4 linked regions of the Sus scrofa genome follow. The protein of the gene in region 1 purifies or fractionates together with the protein of each later gene. This does not show direct contact. Links are inferred from orthologs where the notes say so. Each region holds a gene or a part of one and is shown in the gene's direction. Other genes may lie near its edges.

What was found. Proteins that work in one complex are often made in the same cells at the same time.
Region 2: the proteins of EXOC8 (region 1) and EXOC6 purify together in Homo sapiens (affinity purification with mass spectrometry; 4 studies listed by BioGRID and IntAct, counting the BioPlex papers as one, with this or other methods). This does not show direct contact. The link is inferred for Sus scrofa from reciprocal best matches to the Homo sapiens genes EXOC8 and EXOC6.
Region 3: the proteins of EXOC8 (region 1) and EXOC7 purify together in Homo sapiens (affinity purification with mass spectrometry; 4 studies listed by BioGRID and IntAct, counting the BioPlex papers as one, with this or other methods). This does not show direct contact. The link is inferred for Sus scrofa from reciprocal best matches to the Homo sapiens genes EXOC8 and EXOC7.
Region 4: the proteins of EXOC8 (region 1) and RALB purify together in Homo sapiens (affinity purification with western blotting; 6 studies listed by BioGRID and IntAct, counting the BioPlex papers as one, with this or other methods). This does not show direct contact. The link is inferred for Sus scrofa from reciprocal best matches to the Homo sapiens genes EXOC8 and RALB.

Annotation. Positions count from the first base shown.
Region 1 is NC_010456.5:59,190,553-59,195,345, forward strand, and holds the start of EXOC8 (exocyst complex component 8), read left to right. Parts: upstream 1-1,792; 5' UTR 1,793-1,994; coding exon 1,995-4,178; 3' UTR 4,179-4,793. UniProt on the Homo sapiens protein: Component of the exocyst complex involved in the docking of exocytic vesicles with fusion sites on the plasma membrane.
Region 2 is NC_010456.5:104,325,059-104,329,984, forward strand, and holds the start of EXOC6 (exocyst complex component 6), read left to right. Parts: upstream 1-1,884; 5' UTR 1,885-1,967; coding exon 1,968-2,080; intron 2,081-4,926. UniProt on the Homo sapiens protein: Component of the exocyst complex involved in the docking of exocytic vesicles with fusion sites on the plasma membrane.
Region 3 is NC_010454.4:5,329,564-5,334,536, forward strand, and holds the start of EXOC7 (exocyst complex component 7), read left to right. Parts: upstream 1-1,931; 5' UTR 1,932-2,029; coding exon 2,030-2,089; intron 2,090-2,279; coding exon 2,280-2,345; intron 2,346-4,483; coding exon 4,484-4,668; intron 4,669-4,863; coding exon 4,864-4,969; intron 4,970-4,973. UniProt on the Homo sapiens protein: Component of the exocyst complex involved in the docking of exocytic vesicles with fusion sites on the plasma membrane.
Region 4 is NC_010457.5:31,115,396-31,120,224, reverse strand, and holds the start of RALB (ras-related protein Ral-B), read left to right. Parts: upstream 1-1,787; 5' UTR 1,788-1,806; intron 1,807-4,829. UniProt on the Homo sapiens protein: Multifunctional GTPase involved in a variety of cellular processes including gene expression, cell migration, cell proliferation, oncogenic transformation and membrane trafficking.

The DNA of each region.
Region 1 (4,793 bases):
CACAGCAGTCTAAATCCATAATAAGCATTTCTAAATTACTGAGTTAAGCATCAGGTTTATGCAGAAAATACCTCCACAAGATCCTTCCTGGGCCTCAACTTTAAAAGGGGTTCACTGAGCCGGATGGAGCACATTCCACCATTCCCTTCGTAGCTGCAGATCCCAGCACACCTGGAAGAAAACCATCCCAAATCTGTAATTCACCGAATGTACACAGGAGGGAATCAAACAGGAGAGAGCAAATCCTTACACGTTCTTGGGTGGTTCAGGCTGAGGGCGAACTCCATGGCAGATGGCCTTCCTGAAAATAGACCCTCTTTGCTGAGAGATGCTTGCAACTCCGCGGGGTCAGGGAGAAATGGGAACAGCAGTGGCCTCCCTTACTCTAACCAGGCAGCTCAAAGATAATCCCATCCTGCTGCTGCCTGTCCTCTCCCTAAAAGGTGTAATCAACCAGTCTGTGGTGGAAAGGGCCAGATCTCCACTAGTGTTCCTCCGAAATTATAATTATATATGAAGGAGAACTGTGCTTTCAACGCAACTTCATATCATATCTTAACTCCTTATTCTAGGTGGTTTTGTATCAATTCAAAAACTAGCAGGTAGTGTTCAGCTACACCTTAAACTTGTTAACTCCGTTGGTGTACAGGAGTCGTTTATTTCAAAAGGGGTTTTCTCCAACTCAGCGGGTAAGAAAAGGGTCCTTTCACAGGGCTCCCGGAAGACCCCCGCGTCCCAAAGTTATGGAAACATAGACCCCTTCCCAAGCTGACACACGGCTCACTGCAAGGCAGCGGCGCCGTAAAGACCACAGCTGAGGACAGCACACTTCCCGGCGCCCTCAGCATCTTTAGGGGCCGATTCTGGCTGTTTCTCCCTCCTGGGTCCTAGATCAGAAAGGGGAAAGGGGTGAACTCATTTTCCTGGAAACTGAGAAACATCCTTCTCTCTCACTGTGTTCCTTACCGGTCAGATCGCCGCGGGGTGGGCCACACGGCTTTCTGAGAGCTAACCAAGGGCAGTGAGAGAGGAAGGAAGGGAAGGGAGAGGAAGCCCGAGAACGGCTGGCTGTCCCTAGACCCGACCCGGGTCACTGCCCCGGCGCCGGGGCAGCGGAAGGGCCGCCAGCTGTCCGGTCCCGGCGGGCTCGGCACTCACAGCGTCATCCGCACGCTCCACTTCACTTCCACCGCCTCCAGTTTGCCCCAGAAGAAACGATCGTTGAACTGCACAAACAGGGCCTGCAAATCCGGCGTGGGGTCCACCAACTCCCAGGACGCGTCCACCAGCGACAGGGGCTCCTGGGCCGGATTGCGCTCCGAGACCTGCAAGTTCCACTCTTCCTGAAGCCGAAGAGCCAGAACCAGGTCCTCATCCATGGCTGCCCGGCTACCAGGCGGAGTCCAGATGGCTCAGAGAGCCTAGCCGTGCTCCTAGGAGATACCAGCTCCCAGGCCACTCTCGGGTCAGGCCACAGATCTCGCGAGACCTAGTAAACTCCGGCTCGAGAAAGAGAACCGAGCGTGCCCCGAACTCCAGTCAAGATTCTAGGGCTTAAAACAACAAAGAAAATTCAGCATGACACCTCCTAGTGGGCTCAACACTTGGGTTCCCGAAGCTTGAGCCCGAGGAAGGTTTCAAGTAGCCGGATACCGCCTTTACGGTTCGCGGGTACGGTCAAACATCAACGTCATGCTCGGCCCATGCGCAGTATCTACACCTCGCTGCTCCGCCCTCCACTCGCTTCCGCAGGAGCTTCTCCGGCGCATGCGCCCTAGGCCACTGGCGACCCTGCGCCGGCGCGCTGTTTGCGAGGGGCATCTTGCGCAGGCGCAGTGTCCGGACTTCAGACCCGGGCGCAGGCGTACTCGCCTGTCTTCCATCCTGCTTCCTCAGCCCTGGACTCGGCCGGGTTGGGTGGGCCTCGACAGTGGCGGCGGCGGCAGCGGCGGCGGTAGTAATAGTGACAGTGACTACGTGAGTCCCCGACGGAAATGGCGATGGCGATGTCAGACAGTGGGGCGAGCCGCCTGCGGCGGCAGCTGGAGTCGGGCAGCTTCGAGGCGCGGCTGTACGTGAAGCAGCTCTCGCAGCAGTCGGACGGGGACCGGGACCTGCAGGAGCACCGGCAGCGCATCCAGGCGCTGGCGGAGGAGACGGCGCAGAACCTGAAGCGTAACGTCTACCAGAACTACCGGCAGTTCATAGAGACGGCCCGCGAGATCTCCTACCTGGAGAGCGAGATGTACCAGCTTAGCCATCTGCTGACCGAGCAGAAGAGCAACCTGGAGAGCATCCCGCTCACCCTGCTGCCGGCCGCCGCCGCAGCCGCTGCTGGGGCCGCCACCGCCTCCGGAGGGGAGGAGGGTGGAGGCAGCGCGGGGGGCCGCGATCACCTCCGGGGCCAGGCTGGCTTTTTCCCAAGTCCCGGGGGCGCCTCCCGCGACAGTTCTGGTCCGGGCGAGGAAGGGAAGCAGCGCACTCTTACCACTCTGCTGGAGAAGGTGGAAGGCTGCAGGCACCTGCTGGAGACGCCGGGACAGTACCTGGTGTACAACGGGGACCTGGTGGAATACGAGGCGGATCATATGGCCCAGTTGCAGCGAGTGCACGGCTTTCTCATGAACGACTGTTTGCTGGTGGCCACCTGGTTGCCACAGCGGCGGGGGATGTATCGCTACGACGCCCTCTATCCCCTGGATGGTTTGGCCGTAGTCAATGTCAAGGACAATCCCCCCATGAAGGACATGTTCAAGTTGCTAATGTTTCCCGAGAGTCGTATTTTTCAGGCGGAAAATGCAAAAATCAAACGCGAGTGGCTGGAAGTGTTGGAGGAAACCAAGAGGGCCCTCAGTGAGAAAAGACGCAGGGAGCAGGAGGAGGCAGCGGCCCCTCGAGGGCCACCCCAAGTGACTTCCAAGGCCAGCAACCCGTTTGAAGATGAAGACGACGACGAACCAGCTGTTCCTGAGGCGGAAGAAGAGAAGGTGGACCTCTCAATGGAATGGATCCAGGAATTGCCCGAAGACCTGGATGTTTGCATCGCCCAGAGGGACTTTGAAGGGGCCGTTGACCTGCTGGATAAGTTGAACCAGTACCTGGAAGATAAGCCCAGTCCACCTGCTGTAAAAGAACTGAGGGCCAGAGTGGATGAGCGTGTCCGCCAGCTCACCGAGGTGCTGGTTTTTGAACTCTCCCCGGATCGGTCCCTGAGAGGCGGTCCCAAGGCTACGCGTCGGGCCGTTTCTCAACTAATCCGGCTTGGCCAGTGCACTAAGGCTTGCGAGCTGTTCTTGAGAAACAGGGCAGCAGCTGTGCATACCGCAATCCGCCAGCTTCGCATCGAGGGTGCCACCTTACTCTATATTCACAAGCTCTGCCACGTCTTCTTCACCAGCCTTCTCGAGACGGCCAGGGAGTTTGAGGCGGACTTCGCAGGCACCGACGGGGGCTGCTACTCGGCCTTCGTGGTCTGGGCGAGGTCAGCCCTGGGCACGTTTGCGGCTGCCTTTAGCAAACAGGTGTTCGACAGTAAGGAGAGCCTCTCCACTGCAGCTGAGTGTGTGAAGGTGGCCAAGGAGCATTGTCAGCAGCTGGGTGACATCGGGCTAGACCTCACCTTCATCATCCACACCCTCCTGGTGAAAGACATCCAGGGGGCCTTGCACAGCTACAAGGAAATCATCATCGAAGCCACTAAGCATCGCAACTCAGAGGAGATGTGGAGGAGGATGAACTTGATGACTCCAGAGGCCCTGGGTAAACTCAAAGAGGAGATGAAGAGCTGTGGGGTGAGGAACTTTGAGCAGTACACGGGGGATGACTGCTGGGTGAACCTGAGTTACACGGTGGTGGCTTTCACCAAACAGACCATGGGCTTCTTGGAAGAGGCGCTGAAGCTGTATTTCCCGGAGCTGCACATGGTGCTGTTGGAGAGCCTGGTGGAAATCATTTTGGTTGCTGTTCAGCATGTGGATTACAGTCTTCGGTGTGAGCAGGATCCAGAGAAGAAGAATTTTATCAGACAGAATGCATCCTTTCTGTACGAAACAGTCCTGCCTGTGGTGGAGAAAAGGTTTGAGGAAGGTGTGGGGAAACCCGCCAAGCAACTTCAGGACCTGAGAAATGCATCGAGACTGATTCGTGTGAATCCCGAAAGTACAACGTCAGTGGTCTGACACCTGGACCTGTTTATGTGTATACGTATATATGGCTTATATATATTATTTATATTTATATTAAGTTGCATTAGCGTATTCTTTATAGTCTCAAACACAGCCTAAAAATAAAAGATGCCTTCTCAGAAATGCGAAAATCAAAAGGAGATTGAAAAACATGTTAAACCCACGTAACAAAAACATTGAATTAGTAGAACATACAATATGCTTTCCTTTTAAATTATGCTAACTCTCTAATGACTATATATCGTCACACCAGAGCATTTCAACTTGTGTTTTGAAAGTTTCCCAGTTCACTAGGTTTCTTAAAGGGCACAGTGCCATTCCTGCCTCGTGTACTTCTGCACCTTAAAATGTGGTTGAACAATTTGGGGAAAAGAAAGGAGGAGTTGAGAAAACTGGTTTCAGGGTAAATTTTGGTCAACAGAATTCCTTCATGAAGGTAGCTGGCGTGTGGACTTACTCCAATCCCTGTAGAAGCTGTCATACAAGCAGTTCAGCAAATACTTCCATCATAATTTAAATGGCCCATTATTGTCTGCTGTTAATTAGCATCATTTTAATACTTGATTTGGGAGCATTTACTTGAAAGTCTTAACAACATACTTTTTTTGT
Region 2 (4,926 bases), about 45 Mb from region 1:
TCACAGTCTGATAAATTTGATCTGGAAGTGTCATATTTTTGCACCATTTGGACCAATATTTCCTCAGAAGGCAGGAGTAATCCATAGCTTGTAGCTTTACTGTCAATCATTCACTCATTCAATAAGCATTTCCTGAACACTCCTGCTACACAAGGCAATGTGTTAGTGTTAAGGGGAATACAAATACAAATCAAATAGACATTCTTTTCTTGCATAGTCTGATAATTTGGCATAAATTAAAAACGTTGCACATAAATGGCTTTAACACAAGATAGAAAATCACTGTTTTGTGTCAGGTCTTGAAGGCAGGCACCATCACTCCCTCTTGGGGGAAATAGTGTTAGGCATATTCCTGATGCATTTCTGCCATCCTGCCATTGGAGGAAAACTAGGGCTAAGAGTTGAAGGTATTGGTGGGGTTGAGGTGAAGACTGCTGGATTAGTTTGCTACTAGCACATATAACCAACCCATCACTCAGTGGCTGAAAAGAACCATCATTCGTCATTGCTCCTGTGTCTGTGAGTATTTGGGGCATGGCTGGGGTGGGTGCCTCTGCTTCAGACTGCTGCAGCTAGATGCAAAACTATGCTTCTCCCTGCATTTTTGTGGATCAGTGGCAATGACTCTGCTTCCTGTATGTCTCATCCTCCTTGGACCAGCAAGCTAGCCGGGAATATTTTTCTCAGGTGATGGTAGAGGTGTAAGAGGGCAAACAGCAGCAAGAGAGGCCTTACAAAGCCCAGGCCTGGAGCTCACAAACTGTCATGTATCACTGGCCTGCAGAAGTCACAGGGCTAAGCCCAAAGCCCTGGGGCATGGAGGGACACTCAGTGTGGCACTGACAAGTGTAAGGGTGCACAGAGAAGTGAAAAACTGATGCAGTTTATGAAGCATGCCTGTGGTTATATGAATATTACATTTTGAGGAGAAAGAACTTCCCGTTTCTTTTCAGAACAATATTAACAAATCTGATAAAAACTTAAAAAAATAGATTCATACAGAAGAATGTCACTAGTCCTCCCTCTCTTTCCAGTACTGGGCAAGAAAGCATGAGGTTAAACTCAGAATTCAGGAAGATCTAGTACAAATGGTAATGGGAATTATGTATCCATTTAATTTTTTAGGCCTCCTTGGGACTGGCTGGCTGGTCTCCACATTTTTCCTTTATATTTTAGGCCTCTACTCCTTTCACACTTTTTTCCTCTCGGTGGCAACCAGCCCCCTTAACATGCTGGCGTCTTCGTGCTTTCTCCCTCCACATCAAAATCTCTCCTGCAGAAAGGATCTAGCAAACTCATTCACAGTGAGGCATAAGTGGCTGGTTTAAGGATTAAAATTAAGCCATTTCCAGGAGCATCTGTCTTTGAACAGGAGACAAAAAAAGGAATGGCTCTTTAACGGAGGAACGTCACACCTTTGTGAGTAAGGTGGCAAGTGACAGGGATGGGGAACCAAGGTGCTTGTCCAGTGACCTCAAAATCATATCCTATAGGATTGTTACACACATATTTTTTCTGAGTAAGTTAACTGCTTGGGTTTGTGGGCAAGGGTGTCGTTGCAGGAATAATTAGGAGCATAGCTCTAATGGCGCAGTTAGCATAAATAACATTAAAATATGTGCCCTAACAAGTCCGTTGTAATTTAATAACTTTTTATAGTGTAATTTTTCTAATCCCTATCAAAGTTTGCTGTTACTGTCTTTGAGAAACAAGCAAATAAATATAGCAGGCATTGGGCAGGAACTTTCTGAACTGTGTCAAGGTTAATAATAAGTAAAATGTTATAAGCAGAGACAGGACAGCAACAGCTGTGCAACATTCTTGGAAGCCAGGATTTTGATAGCATGAGCTCAGACAGTGAGCTCAGTTTTTTGCTGCTACTTTGGATGAAGAGAGAACCCTTGTCATAATTATAGGGAAAACGACATTTCTCTTATAAATTACAACTGTTTTGCACTGAAAATCTGATGTCTGTGGCTGGAAAATCAGGAGCAATGTTGGAAGAGGACGCAGATCAAACCTATGAGAATGTCCTGGCTGAGATCCAGTCCTTCGAGCTGCCCATTGAAGCTACTTTAAGGTAAGTCTCCTTTATATTTTCTGGTTTCTTCTTTGGTAGGTATAAGGTAGTCTTATGCACTTCTTTTTATACTTTTCTTCTTTGTATACTTATTTTTATAAAGAATAAAAAATAATTTTTGAAAAATAGTTACAGTTCTTTATATACCTAATCTCAAAATTTTATCCTTAAATGAATGACAATAAATAAAAAATCCACTTTTTTGCATTGTATTTGTTTCAGGATTCATCATCACAAGATCCAAAAATAGAAATGACTTTCAAGTGGTCAAAAAGGGCCGCATGCCAACTCCAGATGGATATTCCGTCTTATTTATATCAGGTTTCAATTATTTTCTCTAAGATGTTGCCTAGTGAAAAACATCAAGAACAATTAGATGTATCAATGAAACTCATTTATATTTGTGTGGACGTCAGTTGTAGGGGAAGAACGCAGAATGCTTATTTGCATTGTTGTTGCTCTTGGGTATATGGTGGCCTCTTGGATGTATTTTTTTTTATTTCTACATAAGATTTAAAAATAACTTCTTTGGTAGGATGGGGATTAATATGCATAGTTCAAGGGCAGGATTAAGATGAAAGACCATGTATCTCTGTGCTAAATGGACACTTTTAAAGTTTAATTATTTTGGAGTTCCTGTGGTGGTGCAGCTGAAATGATTCTGACTAGGAGCCATGAGGTTGCTGGTTTGATCCCTGCCTCGCTCAGTGAGTTAAGGATCTGGCATTGCCTTGAGCTGTGGTGTAGGTCACAGATGCGGCTCAGATCTGGCATTGCTATGGCTATAGCACAGGCAGCTGTATTTCCGATTAGACCCCTAGTCTGGGATTTGCCATATGCCGTGGGTGTGGCCCTAAAAAGAAAAAAAAAATTTGTCTGTCTGCCTTTATCTGATACCTATCAGTGTGGGAACAGGATAGTGACAGTCAATAAATATTTGTTGACTAATATTTGTAGATTAAGTGAAAGGATTTCTTTCTTTTTTCTTTTTCTTTCTTTTTTTTTTTTTTTTTGGTGTTGTCTTTTCATTCTCAAAAAGATCCAGGGTCAAATGCTTTGAAATTCTATAATTTCGGTCTGAATACATTTCTCCTGAATGTTTCAATTTGATTTTGCATTAAATAAATTTTGAATCTTTCCAAAGGGCCTAAAGTAATGTTGGGGGTATGGGAAGCTAATGGTATTTACTGGTTGATTCTTGGATTATCAACATGTAGATGCGGTTGCAAAATAATTACAACTCTATTATAACTGTTCTTTTCACTTTCATTTTATTTGAGCATCGTAGACATCCATGAAAAAAGACAGGTAATTTTTACCTTATTCAATAAGTAGAAGAAACCAAAGCTTTTCACAAGGGCTTGGTCATTTTTTCCAAAGGAAACAGACTTTATACTGTCTAGCATCTTCTAAAACTTGTGCATCTGTCTGGCAGCTAGGTCAGAAGTCTACAGGGAAATGTGAGAAGGGGATAAAGGGAACCTGGCCATGTGTTAATTACCATGGCCTCTGCTGCCATTGCTGCTTCAGAGCCCTTAGTCTTTGACCCCTGACCCTTTCTACTTCTCCCTTGGTCTCACAATCCTGGCTAACATCTACAGACTTCATCCATCCTTGGAACTATCGGCTAGTCTTGCCCTGGTACTGGACCTGACTTCTTGCTTTGGTTCTTGGATCTGTCCCATCCTCTGTTCTGAGGGAAAATATCCAGAAGCTTATACTTGGTCTTCCTAAAGAAATGAACCTGTTTAGATCTAGCAGTCCCAGTACCCTCCCAGCATCACAAGGGTAGACACTGCATAAATATTTCCTCCAGGTGCTGCCTGTTATCATTACCACTGGACCTGGAATGCCCACTGTTAGCTTCATGTTTGGGTTATTGAACAAGGAGTGAGGGCAGTCTTTTCCAAAGGCTACTGTTAAAACACTCCAATGTTGGAGTTCCTGTCGTGGCTCAGTGGTTAACGAATCCGACTAGGAACCATGAGGTTGCGGGTTCGATCCCTGGCCTTGCTCAGTGGGTTAAGGATCCGGCGTTGCCGTGAGCTGTGGTGCAGGTTGCAGACATGGCTTGGATCTCGTGTTGCTGTGGCTCTGGCGTAGGCCGGTGGCTACAGCTCCGATTAAACCCCTAGCCTGGGAACCTCCATATGCTGTGGGAATGGCCCTAGAAAAGGCAAAAAGACAAAAAACAAAACAAAACAAAAAAAAACAACACTCCAATGTTGTTTTGGAAGATACACACAGGGTTCATAACAAGCCTTTATTTAGGACAATATTTGCCCAAATTAGTTTTCCTAATTTTTAAAAAATATTTTTTCGGAGTTCCCATCATGGCTCAGCAGTTAACGAACCCAACTAGCATCCGTGAGGACGTAGGTTCGATCCCTGGCCTCGTTCAGTGGGCTATGAGGATCTGGTGTTGCCGTGAGCTGTGGTGTAGGTCACAGATGCGGCTCAGATCCCGCATTTCTGTGGCTCTGGCGTAGGCCGGTGGCTACAGCTCCTATTGGACCCCTACCTGGGAACCTCCATGTGCTGTGGCCCTAGAAGAGACAAAAAAAAAAAAAAAAAAAAAAAAAAAAATTTATTAGATGAAGCTTTCTGAGGCTGGCATTCCATGCCTTTCTGTACATCCTTATGCATGTCATTGATATTCCAGTGTCAACTATTCTATTTCACCGCTCTTATGGAACATATCTGCTCACATGGTCAAATGTGAAGGCAGGAAAATAAAGACAGGACTTCCGTTTTGTTTACTATTTGACAGTATGCCTCATTTTCTTCCATGTGGTGCTCATGGTTCCTTTCCCTTATGATCCCTCACTCTTACTTCTGCCTGCCAA
Region 3 (4,973 bases), on another chromosome or scaffold:
ATGGGGACTTATTTATGATACAGGTAGCATTTAAACTAGTGGTTGACTAATTATTGAAGAAATGATATTGGGACAATTGGGTGTCCACCCAAGAAAAAAAATGCAGATGGCTCCATGTTGTAAACATTAAAAGAAAAGAAAAGCAGGAGGAGGATCTTATAATTTTTCTTCTTTAGCTTGTTCATGTGATGGATTATCTTAGTTTATTTTCAAATGTTGAACCAGCCTTACACACTTGAAATAAATCCCATGTAGTCATGATGTATACTTTATTTTTATACATGTTGGATTCTATTTGCTAACATTTTGAGTATTTTTGCATTTGTATTCATGAGAGATATTGGATTATAGTTTTTCTTTCTTATAATGGAACTAGGAAGTTACCAAACTAAAGAACAGTGTGTGAGGAGTTCCCATCGTGGCTCAGTGGAAACGGATCCGACTAGCATCCATGAAGACGCAAATTCAATCCCTGGCCTCGATCAGTGGGTTAAGGATCTGGCATTGCCGTGAGCTGTGGTGTAGTCGCAGATGAGGCTGGGATCCTGCGTTGCTGTGGCTGTGATGTAGGCCAGCAGCTGTAGCTCTGATTGGACCCCTAGCCTGGGAACCTCCATATGCTACAGGTGCAGGGGCCGCCCCCCCAAAAAAAAACAGGCTGTGAAGGGAGCAAGCTCTTGCTTCCTCCCTATCCCCCACCCCCCAGAAAGAGCATCCCTGAGAGTTGGGCAGTTGGGGCCTCTAGGCGACCCTCACATTTGTGCTCTGAACAAGTTTGGGAATGAAAGCCAAGCAACCGAGGCTGCAGCTGAAACACCGCTTTCTCCTTTGGCTGAAGCAGCTTGTGCTGAGTATAGTTAGGGAATCACAGCTTTTACCAAATCAGTGTCCACTGCCAACAGCATGTGCCTGACATTGGGCTGGGAATCACCGAAACTGGTCTTTTCATTCTTTTATTTATTTATTTAATTTTTCTTCTTTTGGTCTTTTTAGGGCCGCACCCACAGTATATGGAGGTTCCCAGGCTCGGGGTCGGGGACAGAGTGCTCACCCATGGCCCCAACAGCATCTGAAACCATAATCCTGACTTGTGAGCCACCCAGCCCGGCCAGGGTGTCTGCTTTGGAGAGGGCTGTGTGGTTTTACTGGCGGGGTTGGTGAGGACCAGGCTGTGGGTAGAGAACTATAAGTCTGCAAACAGTGCAAGGCGAAGCCTGAGAGATCTGAGACCTGTCTAAGGGCTTGGGGCCCAGGGTGGTGGTGTCCTTAGGGAGAGACTGAGGCATGCATGCATTCAGACACACGGGGAGCATTTCTCACGGGCCTTGGAGGAAATCAGAAAGCCTTGGTTCCTGCGGCTGCCGGAATGTCTCAACTCCTTGGCGGGGTCTCCTCTAAATACAGCTTGGGGGCGTGGCCGGGGGTGGGGTTGGGAGAGGGTAGGGGACTGGTTCAAGGTTACTGCAGGTACGTATGCTCTGGATCCACTGCAAAACCTAGTTACTTGCACACTGGGCCTGTTCCGTGAGCTTTTAGGGCCAAAGAGGGACACTACACAGGTCCTTGGTTCATTAAATGGGCACAATTGGGTATCTAGTGTGTGACAAGCTCTGTGCTGCGTTTTGTGGGAAAGGCGACATTGGTGCCTGGATTCAGACTTCGATCTGGAGAAAGGAGTTCGTCATTGATTTTGTGAAAGGCGTAAACCTTCCCCCGAAGACGGCCAAGTGAGCTGTTACTGTTCTGCCAGCGACAGGACAAAACACCACCCAAGAACCTTCTCTGATGAGAACAGCAATCCCTTCACCTAGGAGAATCCAGGCCACACCTCCCTGCCACACTCAAGATGGCCACTCCAGACCGCTGTACTGAGTTCTACGCAGGCGCACTTCCACCTGCCACTCCCAATATGGCACCACTAGCGCGCCCCGGGGCGGGGCCACGGGCGGAAGTAGGTGTGACAGGAACGGGAGCCGAGAGGGTCAGCTGGGACGAGGTACTGGGCAGTGGGAGTCGCAGAGTCGAAGCCATGATCCCCCCGCAGGAGGCGTCCGCCCGGCGGCGGGAGATCGAGGACAAGCTGAAGCAGGTGGGGCTGGCACTGGGAGGCGGGGGAGGGGAAGGGGCCGAGATCCGGGCCAGGCATCCACTCAGGGAGGCGTCAGGAGTGGGAAGGGGACACTCCCTGCCAGGAGACTGAGTAGGGGGCGAGACCACGGGAGCGGTGAGCTCCTTTAGCCTCCGGCTTCTGGTGATGTCCTCCTTTGCGCTCCCCCCAGGAGGAGGAGACGCTGTCCTTCATCCGAGACAGTCTGGAGAAGAGCGACCAGCTCACCAAGAACATGGTGAGTAACCCCTCCTCAGCTGGGGGGGCTTCCAGGCGCTGGAGGAGACCCTGCGACCCGGTCGTGCCTGGACCTAAGGGCTGGGGTTCTGGTCTGGGTAGTGACAGCCGTGACGCGTGGGTTTCTCCCGCAGCAGTGTGGCACGTCTCTTACCCCTTGTCAGCCCCTTGGCCTCAGATGCTGCAGTCCCCGCTGGCCTGGACTTTCTGATCTCTGCCTAAGTTCTCCATGCTTCCTTCTCTCCTCTGCAAACACTTAGTGAGACTGACCTAAGTGGGTTGGATGCTGGCCATGTGTCACCCTCAATTCAAGTGAGGGTAGGATGGCCAGGTTACCACTTCTTTTTTTTTTTTTTTGTCTTTTGTCTTTTTGTTTTTGTTGTTGTTGTTGTTATTGTTGCTATTTCTTGGGCCGCTCCCGCGGCATATGGAGGTTCCCAGGCTAGGGGTCCAATCGCAGCTGTAGCCACCGGCCTACGCCAGAGCCACAGCAACGCGGGATCCGAGCCGCGTCTGCAACCTACACCACAGCTCACGGCAACGCCGGATCGTTAACCCACTGAGCAAGGGCAGGGACCGAACCCGCAACCTCCTGGTTCTTAGTCGGATTCGTTAACCACTGCGCCACGACGGGAACTCCATTTTTTTTTTTTTTTAACGCAGTGAATTTTATTACGTTTATAGTTGTACAACGATCATCACAACCAAATTTTATAGCATTTCCATCCCAAACCCCCAGCCCATCCCTCCACCCCCAACCTGTCTCCTTTGGCAACCGTAAGTTTTTCCAAGTCTGCGAGTCAGCATCTGTTCTGCAAAGAAGTTCATTGTGTGCTTTTTTTAGATTCCACACATAAGTGAGAGCATTTGATGTGGGTGTCTCACTGTCTGACTCACTTCACGTAGCATGATCATTTCTAGGTCCATCCATGTTGTTGCAAATGCCGTTCTTTCTTTCCTTTTAACGGCTGAGTAATATTCCATGGTGTATATGTACCACATCTTCGTTATCCACTCCTCTGTCCATGGACATTTAGGTTGTTTCCATGTCTTGGTTATTGTGTATAGTGCTGCAGTGCACATTGGAGTACAAGTATCTTTTCGAGTCATGGTTTTCTCTGGATAGATGCCCAGGAGTGGCAGGTTACCCCTTCTGAGATTACTGACTCACCTTTCACTCCAGAGGGCTTGAGGGGTAAAATGAGCTCTGAAGTCAGATCTGGGATCTAGTCCTTGCCCCTCCACTTGTCCGCGTATAGCTTGCTGACAGGTAACTCTGATCCTCAGTTAACTTGTCAGCTGAAACAGAGATGATGCCAGCCTCCCATAGCTCTGAAGGTCACAGAAGCTAGTGCAAAGGGACGTGTCAATAAGTATGAGTTTCTTCCTTATTCCTAGAGGAGACTGGAAAAACATAGGCTGTTTAGTAACACAGTCAGCAACTGCTAGTTCTTTCTTTTTTTCTTTTTGTCTTTTCTAGGGCCGCTCCTGTGGCACATGGAGGTTCCCAGGCTAGGGGTCGAATCGGAGCTGCAGCTGCTGGCCTACCCACAGCCACAGCCACAGCCACACCAGATCCCAGCCTCATCTGCGACCTACACCGCAGCTCATGGCAACGCCGGATCCTTAACCCACTGAGCAAGGCAGGGACCGAACCCGCAACCTCATGGTTCCTAGTCAGATTCGTTAACCACTGCGCCATCACGGGAACTCCTGCTAGTTCTTATTTAATGAGATTCACCCTTAGAAAGGGTTAGGAAGGTACCAGCAATGCATTTGAGGCTACTCTGTATGAAACTACTTCCTGTTCAGTCTAGAACGCTCCAGAGAGAATAGAAATTGAGCTTTGGCTTCGGAGGGTGGACGAGAAGCATTCTGAAGTGATTATCTGCGGAGGAATTAATTTCATGCCTGGCTTGCCTTCACATTAATTGATGTGGGCTACCTCCTGTGTGCCGGGCACGCGGTAGCTGCTGGGGATTCAGTGGGGAAGAGATGTCCCCCGTCCCTTCCCTCATGGGCCTGGTTGTCTAGAAAACCGTAGAAAAAGGCAGCAAATGCCAAAGACCCGGTGGGTGGCAGAAGCGGCTTGGGGACCACCCGGCGGTCTGCGAGCACGGGGCTGCCCTCCCCCTGCAGGTGTCTATCCTGTCGTCCTTTGAGAGTCGCCTCATGAAGCTGGAGAATTCCATCATCCCCGTGCACAAACAGACGGAGAACCTGCAGCGGCTGCAGGAGAATGTTGAGAAGACGCTGTCCTGTCTGGACCACGTCATTAGCTACTACCATGTGGCCAGTGACACTGAGAGGATCATCAGGGAGGGGTGAGCCAGGGCCGGAGGGTCACCTGCCTAACGCCTCCGGGCCAGCCACCCCAGGCCTTGGAAGGGGGGGTAGAACGTATTTGAACCTTGGGTCGCCTGGGTGAATTCTCTTCTCCCCTGTCCAGGTATCATTCCTGGGGCCCTCCCTCTTCATCTTCCACCTGCCCAGGCTGATCCAGCTCTTTTCCTTTCCAGCCCCACAGGGAGGCTGGAGGAGTACCTGGGAAGCATGGCCAAGATTCAGAAGGCTGTGGAGTATTTCCAGGACAACAGCCCAGACAGCCCAGAGCTCAACAAAGTGGTAA
Region 4 (4,829 bases), on another chromosome or scaffold:
GGGCTGGCTTCTGGAGAGACGGGGTAATATTTCATGTTGGAGAGCGTTCAGCACAACATCCAGACACTCAAATTTCATTTTATATCACAAGCCAGGGCTTTGCCGCTGCCACCCTGCAGGGTTTTTATCTGGTTACCTGGAAGTGGTGTACCCTGCAGATTTTTGGAAGCACTGAGCATGGGTGTCTATGAAGTTGGACGAGGAGAACATGAGCTGGCAAGGGGTGGGGCATAGCCATAATGAAGACTTATTACTTAATGACCGGATAGACTTGTCCTCATTTCATGGAGATAACTCTTGGTAAACTATGACGGCAGAAAGATAAGTGCGGCTCATTCAACACTTCAAAACAGAAAGGAATCTTTTTGTGGGGTGGGGGGGAGTCTTACCAGTGGCATGCGAAAGTTCCCAGGCCAGGCAGCAGCGACAACACCTAATCCTTAACTGCTAGGCCACCAGGGAACTCGGAGAGGAATTCTTTCCTTCTTTCTTCCTTCCTTTCTCTCTCTCTCTCTCTCTCTCTCTCTCTCCCTTCCTTCCTTGTCTTTTTAGGGCTTCCCCTGTGCCATATGGAAGTTCCCAGGCTAAGGGCAGAATTGGAGCTGCAGCTGCCGGCCTGCACCACAGACACACAACTTGGGCTCGAGATCCAAGCCTCAGCTACCATCTACACCACAGTTCACGACAAGGTAGGATCTTTAACTCACTGAGTGAGGCCAGGGATCGACCCTGAGTCCTCATGGATACTAGTTGGGTTCGTTACCACTAAGCCACAACAGGAACTCCTCATTTGTTTCTAATGTGTTACCCAAGTTGATTAATTTCTTTTAGAAGAAGAAAGCTCATTCTCTAGCTAATGACGTGGACCTCTGCTTTCCCAGAAGAACAATTCCTGGGAATATCTGGTTAGTTCCTGCTGCCTGGCTGGGGCTGGTGAGATGACATAGAAAGGGAGTAACGCAGAGAGAGAAGCTCTCAATAAAACACTTAGCAGAAAGTGGTTGAGAAAAGGCCCAGTAAGTCTTTTTCAAGTGGCCATAAATAATCGAGCACCAAAGTCAAGAGCCGGAATGTGGCTGGGAATAAGAAAGCGCCAGCGCTTTTCTTGGTAGCTGCCAGCAAGAGGCTTCAAGAAAGGAAGTCAGAGGGATATTCCCCAGGCTTTGGGGAGGCTCCAAGAAAGCATCACCCTTACCTGGTGCCTTGGGTGAGAACTCAGGAGTCTGAACCTTTGCCAGCCCCAGCCAGGAAGGGAAAAGTCACGCCATCCTAGTAGTGTGAGTTAAAGACCTCCGGTCCTCAGAGTTCCCATTGTGGTTCAGTGGGTTAAGAGCCTGACACAATGTCTGTGACAGTGTGGGTTTGCAGTGGGTCGGGGATCTGGCATTGCCATGAGCGGCGATGTAGGTCACAGATATGGCACGGATCTGGCGTTGCTGTGGCTGTGGTATAGGCTGGCAGCTGCAGCTCTGATTTGACCCCTGGCCCGGGAACTTCCATATGCTGCAGGTGTGCCCCCCTCAAAAAAAAAAAAGATCTCTGGTCCTCCCCTAAATCCTTCCCCTAGCCTAAGACCTCAAGTTTCAGTTTCGGATGATGCAAATGCCCAGGAAGGAGTGGGTACCCACTGAGCTGTCTTTAGCCCTTTATTCCTATGTGCGGATGAACCCATGAGGCTGTTCCTGAGAACAGGAGGAGCTGGCAGGAAGCGCCGGACACTGAGGGCTGGAGAAACAGAGAGGGAGATGACCAAGAAGAACCCTAAGGAGTCTTGCTGTTTATAGTGGATTCTCCCTATAACCATTGGTAGGTAAGAATGACTTCTTTTCATCTGTAGATCGGTGGCTCCCCCTCTTTCCTCCCTTCCTTCCTTCTTTCCTTTCTCTCTCTCTTCCTTCCTTCCTTCCTTCCTTCCTTCCTTCCTTCCTTCCTTCCTTCCTTCCTTCCTTCTTTCTTTCTTTCTTTCTTTCTTTCTTTCTTTCTTTCTTTCTTTCTTTCTTTCTTTCTTTCTTTCTTTCCTTTCTAGGGCTGCACCTGCAGCATATGGAAAAGGCTAGGCAGCTGCTGGACAACATCATAGCCTCAGCAATGTGGGATCTGAGCCATGTCCATGACCTACACCACAGCTCATGGCAATGCCTGATCTTTAACCCACTGAGTGAGGCCAGGGATGGAACCTGCAACCTCATGGACACTAGTCACGTTTGTTACCGCTGAGCCATGACGAGAACTACCCCCCTCTTTTTTCTAATCCAGATGGTCACCAAGTATCAAATGCCTGCAGGGATAATTGGAGCTTGTCAGACTCTTTCTAATAATACCGTCTATTTATATCATCCTGCCAGCTCGTGGGAGCAAGTCTCATATGCTGGCTGATGTTCTAGGAAATTGGCCAGCTGCCCTCTCACATCCTCCCCTGTTCTGCCTGGCTTTTGAGCACCTATCTCCTGGGGTCAAAGCACCTCTAGAGCTCCCACCTTCCAGCCGCTGGGATTGGCAGAAGGACCTTCTGTTTAGTCTTCAGTGCTTTTGCTCCCTTCCTTCTGCAATCTCCCCAGATCTCCAATTAATCAAGGGCAGATTACAACACTGCCAGGCTCTACCCCTGTGGGCCCCACTTTGCTTGGACCCCCAGAACAACCTTCCAACATCCACGTCCACTCCCACATTTGCCCCTTACAGGCCACTCTCCACACAATAGCCAGGGTGGTCTTTCTTTCTTTCTTTCTTTTTTTTTTTTTTTTTTTTTTTTGTAAGTCCGCACCCATGGCATGAAGAGGTTCCTGGGCTGGGGATCCAACTGGAGCTATAGCTGCCAGTCTACACCACAGCCACAGCAACGCGGGATCTGAGCCATGTCTGCGAACTACAGTGCAGCTTGTGGCAATGTCAGATCCTTTACTCAGTGAGCAAGGTCAGGGATCAAACCCATATCCTCATGGATGTTATGTAGTTCTTAACCCGCTGAACCACAACAGGAACTCCTAAAGTCACTTGTAATGGCACACCATTTGTAATGACCTAGTTGCTTGTCTGTTGGTTCTCTTGTCTGAGTTAGCCATCACCATATCCCTAGCTTGGTACCCATTAGGGCCTGACATCAGTCAGAGCAGACTAAGCTGTGCAGCAGCAACAAAAGACTTCCAAATCTTAGTGTCTTCAAATCACAGAGTTTGTTTCTCAATCACATAAATGTCTGTCACAGGTTAGTGGTGGACCGGGGCTGGGGGGTGGGGGGCACTGTGTTCATTGCAGGGGCCCAGGCTGATGGGGCCCCCATACGTTCCCAGTACCATACCATGCAGATGAGAGCTCTGAAGGGTCTCCCATGGACAGATAAATTCTCCCACCCCCAAATGATTTGTGTATCATGTCTGCTTCCAAGTCATTGGGTCCCATAGAGTCACCCACCTACAGGGAGCAAGAAGTTCAAGACTGTCTAGGGCCAGGAAAGAGAAGTGGAAATATTCGCCAAACAGTAGTCCAGACTCACTCAATACTCAGTCAGTACTTTTGAAGGAGCAAGCATCTAGTATGTTCTTTCTACAGCTGCAGTGGGTTAGAGCGACCTTACAGGGTCCTGCTGGGGCTCTTGTATTCTTGCTGTTCAGGCTGCTGCTCTGCAGGGAGTCAGAGTTCCCTCAGGAGAAGCTCAGCAGACAAGGGTGTCCTCTGAGATCTGAGAGGAGCAGTCCCAGAGGCTGTGGTTCATCCCCAGATGGGGATATGTTCCGGGTCTGTGTCCTTTGTGAGACAACTCTTCCAAGTGCCCTGCCAGTCCCCTCTGAGACAGCCTCACTTAGCTAGGGTCTGGCATGTGCAAGAGCTGAACAGATGACCCTCTTGGCCGAGTCCCAGTGGAATCCCTGGGTGGGGGGCGGGGAGGGCTGAGGCAGGTAGGCAGGTGGTTGGGTGGGGATGGGATGTGGAGAGTAAGGGCATCATTTTTGAGACCTAATGCGCCCTGTTACTAGTCATAGGAATGGCAGTTATACACCCCAGGAATGGTAAGAAAACCACCTGTGACTGCTGTAGGTCCTAGGGGTATGGGGACAGGAAAATGCTGGTGGTCATCCAGGGCCCTGATGCTGTTCCCTAACCTGTCCGTTTCGTTAGGGCAGGCCGCAGTAAGCCCTTCCCGGGTCTGAACTTGCATTTGATCAAATGGCATTGCCACAGCGTGTCCTTTCTACCAGGCCATACACGGTGCTGTAGTGGGAGGAAATGCTCTCCCTAGGTGGTTATAATAAGCTCGTGTCCATCTTGGCTTTGGGTGGCAACACAATGGAAGCTAATGTTTGCTGAGCACCCATCAAGTTCCCAGCACTATGCCAAGTGCTTTATATGTCATTGCATGTAAATCATCACACCTGCAGTGCGCAGGTGCTGCTCCTGTTGGGCAGCTGGGGAAACCAAGGCCTGCAGTGGTTAACTTCCTAATTAAGACACTGTTAGTTCTATGGCAGAGCCCTCCTTTAAACCTCTGCTTCCTGATTCCAAACCTGTGCACTTAATCGTTATCCGTAGGAATAGACTTTCATCTGATTCCCCTTCTAGGTCATTCATACTGGAGAACTTCCTTTCTGAGGAGCCTCCTACCTTCTCCCTTAACAGTACCTAGCAGAGTTTCTCATATACTTAGCAGGCAATATAAGTCTTTAATGTATATGGGGAAGGTCAAATAGAATACTTAAGATCCTAGGCTAAACTAGCAGAGTCTGGTGATATGGTCTTTGATAAGCCTGTTACTTAAAACTAAGTTAATGCTTCTGTGCTTTTTGATATTGCTCTTTGTAGAGGGTCTGGATCTGTTAGTTGCTTATACACAG